Drosophila melanogaster: one gene and its partner. The protein of the gene in region 1 purifies or fractionates together with the protein of each later gene. This does not show direct contact. Each region holds a gene or a part of one and is shown on either strand. Other genes may lie near its edges.

Evidence for each region. The genes of interacting proteins can lie anywhere in the genome.
Region 2: the proteins of Taf4 (region 1) and Taf9 purify together in Drosophila melanogaster (affinity purification with western blotting; 4 studies listed by BioGRID, with this or other methods). This does not show direct contact.

Annotation. Positions count from the first base shown.
Region 1 is NT_037436.4:16,111,212-16,114,966, forward strand, and holds the start of Taf4 (TBP-associated factor 4), read left to right. Parts: upstream 1-2,000; 5' UTR 2,001-2,154; intron 2,155-2,578; exon of another isoform or gene 2,579-2,673; 5' UTR 2,674-2,930; intron 2,931-3,096; exon of another isoform or gene 3,097-3,100; 5' UTR 3,101-3,260; coding exon 3,261-3,632; intron 3,633-3,755. Other genes in the region: Zn72D (Zinc-finger protein at 72D), read right to left, coding at 1-658. UniProt on the Drosophila melanogaster protein: TFIID is a multimeric protein complex that plays a central role in mediating promoter responses to various activators and repressors.
Region 2 is NC_004354.4:17,840,006-17,843,760, reverse strand, and holds Taf9 (TBP-associated factor 9), read right to left. Parts: upstream 1,601-3,755; 5' UTR 1,503-1,600; coding exon 1,352-1,502; intron 1,288-1,351; coding exon 602-1,287; 3' UTR 413-601; downstream 1-412. Other genes in the region: CG8142 (uncharacterized protein), read left to right, coding at 1-192, 255-341; CG6398 (uncharacterized protein), read right to left, coding at 2,662-2,771, 2,834-2,999, 3,066-3,406, 3,472-3,601. UniProt on the Drosophila melanogaster protein: TFIID is a multimeric protein complex that plays a central role in mediating promoter responses to various activators and repressors.

The DNA of each region.
Region 1 (3,755 bases):
AAGTCTGCGGCCCGGCGCACGAGATTTTGCACACTTCGCAGTAGTGCAGCTGCTGGGGACGTGGAGGTGCCTTCGGACGCATACCCCTTATGGCCGTTGCTCCTGGTATGGTGGCTCCCATCTTACGCTGATACCAGTTATTGGCGCCGCCATTTGGTTTTTGGTTTGGATTGCCCTGATGCTGTTGGGCCACATACATGCTTGCCGCATTGTAGAGTGCTGTATCATAGCCACTGTAATTGTTGCCCGCCGGAGGAGCCGAACTAGGGGGCTTGGGACCACCGTTCGACTTGTCCATCTTGCCCTTGACCTGATTCTTGACTGGCGGAGCCGAGTAGTGCGTCTTGCTGACCGAGGCTGTCGAACCGGAGGCGTTGTAGCTGGCCGGCGACTGCTGATAGAATGTCTTGGTGGCGTCGTATTGCATGGCACTTCGATAGTCGCCGTAGCCACCATAACCCCCCGCCCCAGGGCCAGAGGTGGCGCCAGCGCCCGCTCCTGCTGCTCCGCCATAACCACCCTGTCCGGCGGCCACAGCGGCATTCTGATAGGCGGCCGCATTCGCGTAGGTGGCATTGGTTACCGCCGGGTACGAGACTTGGCCCGTATTGTACTGGGTGCCGCCGTAGTTAAACCCGGCGTAGTTGTTGTTGGCCATTGTCGCGGTGCGCTGCAATTACGAAAATCGAATTTGTTTGACAATCTGTCTGCGGTTTACTAGTTTACCATTGGCATTTGCATTTGCATTTTGGACCTGCCCCCATCCCCACCAAGTGCTCTACTTACATTAGCTGTCCTATCCGACTGACTGTCAATATTTATGGGACTTCGAATGCGGATTTATTCGGGAATTTATATGTGCTTTCCGAGTAATAGCCTGTTTATAGCTGTAAAAGCAAAGTGGTCTTAGTCACGTCATGTTGAGAAAGGAGCTCCCCCCACCACTTTCCCATCCGTTTTTCATCTGCTTTTCTCTATCGATTTTTACCCCGCAGCTTTGGACGCACTTTTCGCGTGTCTGGCCCACATGCGAGTGAGCACACGTGGCGATCTCTTTTCCAACGGCATTTTAGCCCTAGTTGTGCATGGTTAAAAAACAGTTAATGCAAATGGCAATTACCTGAAATCGGTTAAATAAAATTTTTCTTCCGTCTCTATGGGCCGGTACTAGTGTGACCGCAGCGTAATCGGATAATCATACTATGTTGAGCCCGACTTGAAACAAATACCACTTTTTATTTTTGGAAGTTTTTGGAAAATATACCATTACACTATATATGTTGCTTATTTAACGGAATTTGTTTAATATTAAAATTGGTATGGTCTATTTTATTAAGACCGCTATTTGTACGATATGTATTTAACTCGCTCTACAGAATTATTTTGCCCGTTGTGCTGAAGTTTAGCATTTCAAAGATACCGAAAACTAACAAAAATACCATCACGTTGGTGGTGGGGCATGTAGTTCGGTATCAAAGTGGAACTATCGATTGTTTGACCGTTACAAAGTACTACTCCTTCGTTTGAATATATATATGATTTAAGTATATGAGCAAATAGCGTTTAAATATAAAAAAATAATAACATTTTTGAGCATTTTCTTCAATTCTGTAATTACCTAACATTCAGCTTTAAACAGTACTCTAATAATAGTTTTAGTAGTTTCTAATTTTTGAGCGTATTCTTCATTTATTCAATTACCTAACATTCAGCTTTAAACAGTACTCTAATAATAGTTCAAAGGATTTAAAATGTATCGTATTCGAATGTATTAAAATAAATTATTTTGATCCTTAAAAATTGTGGCTTATTACCCATATAAAAACTAATGAGCATATAATTAATTTGGTATGCGGCTAAAATCCGATGGCATCAAAATGCCAGCAAACGTTTTTGGTTTTGAAAATGTACGCAACAAGGCTATAAAAAATCGACATGATATCCAAGTCACTACTTCTTTTCTAGTATTTTAATTCGGTATCGCGTTTAACACGACGATATTGTCGCCAACGGTCACACTGCACAACTCGTCCGTACCTCGGCGGTCCGTAAACAATATTTACTCGGTTTTCGGCTAAATCGCCAGAGAAACGCAACGGGAAATCGTTTAAAATGCGCCCCAGTGCACCGAGTTTGAACGCAAAATGAATTGAAGTGAGTGCATCTGCCACAGGGCCCAGAAAATTTCCCCCGACATTGCAGGCTGTACAAAACCTATACTGAAACACACGCACACAGTCGCACAGACACGGACGTGGGTTTATGCCACCACCCGCTGGCCACTAAAGTAGAAATTACTAATACTACGGCTGGCACGATGCTCCATATTGCCACTGGAGACATGTACAAGATGCATTTGTTTTCTTTTTGTTTTAAATATTTTTATGCGGATTTTCGAAAAATATGAATTTTTCCTAATAGAAATCATCAATTATTAAGTGCTCCACTTTCGAGTTGAACTTTTTTTTAAATTTAGTGCATTCACGAATATTGCGCACTCGCCACCCGCATAAACGAGCGGCATTGCCAGATCGTTGGTTACGTGTTTTTCGCACGCTATCTGGCAACGTCCACCAGCCTCGATTTTCGCTTTGCACGCGCATTCGTGAAAATGGCGGCGTTCTGGCACCGTCGCTGCCAAATTTTTTGTACATCAAAATAATCAAAATAAAGCATTCTTCCAGTGCTCAACAATCAGTCCGTGCGAGCACGCGCGAGTGTGTGTGTGCGCAGGAAAACCCGCCGATCGGGAAAAGTGTAGAAAGGCTTAGCGGCGCAAACAAAAGGCAGCGAATTAGCGAGATAACACACACGCGACAACGACTGCAACGGATGCGCCAGGAGAAAGGCCGACGACAGTGACGGCAAAGGCGAGTGCGAGTGAGCCAGCGCAGCACCAATTCAGCGGAGCACCCGCTTTTTTGGCCAAGGTGAATGCGATTACCTGTGCGCGGCATCCAGGTGTACGCAGCATCTGGTTTATGGCGCACGGCCGCCAGGTAGCCGGCGGTCAGGTAGCACCTCCACCGCCTACCTGTTTCTCCACCGCCTCGAGCCGAATCTTGTATAAATACTAAAAGCGCCTCCCCTTGCATTGCAGTTCGCTTCTGGAGCGCACAGCATGCAACAACTCCGCCAACACCAACACAGGATGTGCGCAACTAGTTGATCGGAACAGGATCGCTCGCCCACACCAACACACAGAAGTCAGTGGAATAGGAGAAACACACTCGCCAATAACATAAACACCACACAGCACGATGAACACCAGCCAGACAGCTGCCGGCAATCGCATCACCTTCACCAGCCAGCCGCTGCCCAATGGCACCATCAGCATAGCCGGCAATCCCGGCGCGGTCATCTCCACGGCCCAGCTACCGAATACCACCACCATCAAGACGATCCAGGCGGGGATCGGTGGTCAGCATCAGGGACTTCAGCAGGTGCATCATGTCCAACAGCAGCAGCAGTCGCAACAGCAACAACAGCAGCAACAGCAGACGCAATCCGTAGGTGCCACCCAAACACAAACCCTAGTTATTAAATCCAACCACCATGCTGTCACCCTGCCGGCGGGTCTAGTCTCAAGTGCACCAGCAGGAATCGTAACCATGACCAAGACCATCAATCAGGTATCCATATTAAAGCTAAACCCACTCTTCGGGCGCTAGGCGATCGCAACTCGGGCGTATCACTTCGTCCAAATCTGATCCCCAATCAAAACCCCCTCAATTCCTCGCTCGAATCGGATAGTA
Region 2 (3,755 bases), on another chromosome or scaffold:
CCGGAGTACTATCTGGAGGATTACCTGGAGGTCTGTCGCTCTGGGAACTACGAGCGCCTGGAGCAGTTCGTGCGGGAGATTGGCTTCTCCGCCTACAGCGTTGGCCAAATGATGGAACAGTTCGTCGAGTTCATTGTCCATCATCCGGGGCTGAATGATCCGCAAAAGGCCACGATCTGCGATAAGCTGGGCGTACGTACTGACTGCATAGATAGATATGATTCCTCTTGTTTATTGCTGCCTTTATCCCACAGGAATGCTGCTTTCGACTGCAGGACGGCGGCTCCGAGTATCTGCAGATCATGGACCTTGGCTGCTGCATCATCTTAGCTTTAAAGTAATCTCATCCCACTCAGCACATTCATTACATGTACTTTATCCGCGACTGGAGTCTAAAATAAATGTTATATTTAATATGAAAATCTGGTAGTTGTATTTGTGTATAAAACGTAGATTTCATAATGATTAACGGGCGAATCTATACTAAGGTTTTTGGGACTTCACATTCGAGTTGAAATTTAGACCCCCAGTTCGCTCAACCAAATGCAAGTGCTTTGGTCTGGTTTAAGAATATTAATTTAAGGTAAATGATGTCGTTTCGCTAGTTGGTCACAAACTCAAACTCCTCCTCCTCACGTTCCCGCTTGACGGCCACTCCAACGCCAGATGATCCTCCTCCTCCTCCTCCTCCGCTGGCACTTCCTGCTCCCGAACCGGATGCGCCAGCGATGCTGCCCACGGCCGCCGCATCGCTGTCCACCTCCATCTTGAGATCTCCGCCGGCGCCGGTGCTCTCGCTCTTAACCTCCTGACCACCGCCGCCCCCAGATCCGCCGGAGCTGCCCACCGTTTTCGTTGTCGTAGTGGTGGTAAACTTGATGACGGGCTTGGGAATGGTCACCACCTGCTGCTTGGCCACCACGGAGTGTGGCCTCTTCGGACCATTGGCGCTGGAGACGGGCTTAACGACGGTCTTCAGTGGACGGCCCTCCACCGCCGACTTGGTCATTTTCTTGGGCTGATTAGTGGCCCGCAGTTTGTAGTTGACGCCGGTGAGACAGTAGCGGTCGGGCGGCAGTCGGAGACCGCAGTGCGGCTTAATGGGTGGCAGGGGCATGCTGTTGCGCACGTCGGCCACCTTGGCTAGAACGTGGCGCTCCAACGGCCCGGTGAAGCTCTTGTCCAGCGTAACCTCGGTGGCCAGACGCACGTCGTCCAAGTCGATGGTCTTCTTGCGCGCATGGTTGGCGTACACCTTGGCGTCGTCCAGAATGCAGGTTACATAGCCTGCAATGCAAGACAGCATTTAGGAAAATGATGTGGGAAAAGCAAGGCATTAATCGCCGCTTACGGAAGGTGAACTCCAGCAGTTGGTTGACCACGCGCGGCTCGTACTCCTGGACATTCAGCTCCTTCAGGATGGACATGATCACCTGCGCGTCCTTCGGCACGTGCTTGATTTGGGCACTGATCTTGGCCTTATCGGACTTCTCTGCGCTCATACTTCTATAGTTATTATGTTTACGTCGGCTTTGCTGCAAGAAGATTGTTTATTCCATTGAAATTGTGCACGTACATATATACGGGTCTATCGGAAATCGGTGAGCTTATGCGATACTATCGATGCAGACGTCTAGTGTGGAAAACGCCGCTGGACTGCAGGGTGGCAACTCTGGCTCTGGCCATTTAAAAAAAACGGCTAAATTAGAAATCGATTTTTAAATGTAGGAACAAATCTAATGAAGCTTATCCAAAATATTAAACAATAAGCATATTTCTACCAGATCACATAACACCACATTGGCATAATAGGTGGACCAATAGGTGGAATATTAACTATCAGAAACAACAATTTCAAAATATTTCGGAATTAACGAAACGAGAACAAATGGCAGAGTGAAATGAAGACTACAATTCTGTTTAGTTTTAATAAAGTCAAAAATTTCTCTCACACGACTTGATAAGCTTATTAACAAAACTTGAATACCCCAGTTGTGGAAAAACAAAAACGAAGTCCCGCCAAAAGGAGCTAAAAACTGTTAAATTAACGTAAGAAACTTTTATTCATTAAACGTACAGCTCTACATACAATATGCACTATACTTGGAAGACAATTGAAGCTTGTCGCGCATTATTACATTCATATACATTGTACAATGAAACTTTTAGCTTAGATACATACACATATTTCTTTATTATTATTTTAGATACGCTACATGTACGTTACGTGCTACAATAAATTAACTCTTTATTGTTCCGTCTTTAAATCGCCATCTCGCCGTGGTCAACATATAAAACCATCCATCCATTCGTCTCTCTTAGATATTTGCAAAATAACGCGCAAACAATTCGCGCACCAAAAACTTGGACGCAACTTTGACTCAAGTCCCACGATCAGTTATACATACAAGCATATATATATATACTATATAGCTCTATATAGACTACAAACTAGATTCTTGTCGAAAAAAAAAATTGATGCTTTAAGTAATATTTTCATTGTCAGAATGTATGCGTTTTAAGATTTCGTTAGCGCTTGCTCTATTTTGATTACTGGGGAGGGCTACCAGGTTCCCTCCTGGTCATGATTTGTGATCTCTATGTCTCTATAACTCAATTGCAGCTGCTGGCTGAAGCTGGCTGGCCCCTTCGGGTGTGCCTCTAGTAGTTGTAGGGTCCGTACTGCGAGCCATGATAGTAAGGTCCTGGGTAGATCTGCGGCTGGGCGTAGTTGGCATAAGGGGGATAGGGTGGCTGCTTCTGCGAGTAAACTGGAAATGGAAACCGAAAATTAGTCATTAGTTATATTAGAGGGTCAGCACGATGGACATACCTGGCATCAGGTACTGCAGGTTCAGCTGCTCCTCCTTCTCCCGCTCGTTGCGCAGGCAAACGGCCGCGCCGGAGAGCAGAATGGACGCCAGGAGACAGGTTCCGATTCCTGCCCAGGCCACGATGTACGACCAGTCGTAGGCGATCTTCGTGTTGTCGCGCAGGACCTAATAAATCAAGATATTCATCATTAGTTAATCCACATACATGCCCAATGCAGCTGGTGTACATACCGTGTTCCACTGCTGGAAGTAATCCTCGCCCACGACCTTCTCCTTCTCAAAGAACTCGACGGTGTGCCAGAGTCCCATGGCGCCGGCGGCCAGGAGACAGGTGACTAGCAGCAGTATCGAGGTGGCTGTGATGGCGCCCGACGACCGCTTCCAGCAGCCGGATAATCCGGTCCAGAACGCACAGAAGATGGTCACAAAGCTGATGATGAACAGAGCGATGCAGGAGCGGGCCAAATGGAGACGCGATGTGGCGTCCTCGTTGGCGATCTTCTCGTCCTCCGCCTGCGGGAAGTAGTCGATGTTCGAGCAGTGTGTCTCGATCGGTGACAAATAGGTGGGCACTGCGCGACGGGAATGGAAATGGATTAAATAACTCCCATGTGATGTAAAATGCAGCATTACTCACCCGCTGAAACTGGCGGCCGCTCCTTGGGATAGCAGATCCGGAACAAGCCTCGTGTCCTCGTGTAGTAATAGTACTTCACGTTCATGTTGTGCAACAACGACTCCGCATCCGAGTGCTTGGCGGCAAAGGACTGAAATCGAAAGGATAGTCCATATTAGCTAAGCTCAATTGCAGTTCAAAGTTATGGTTACAAGTGTTTGAAACTATCCTATCTTAGCTCTTAGCTCTGGCCCTACCCATACTTGTCTTAATAGCCACACATTTATTTATAGCCCGCGGATTAA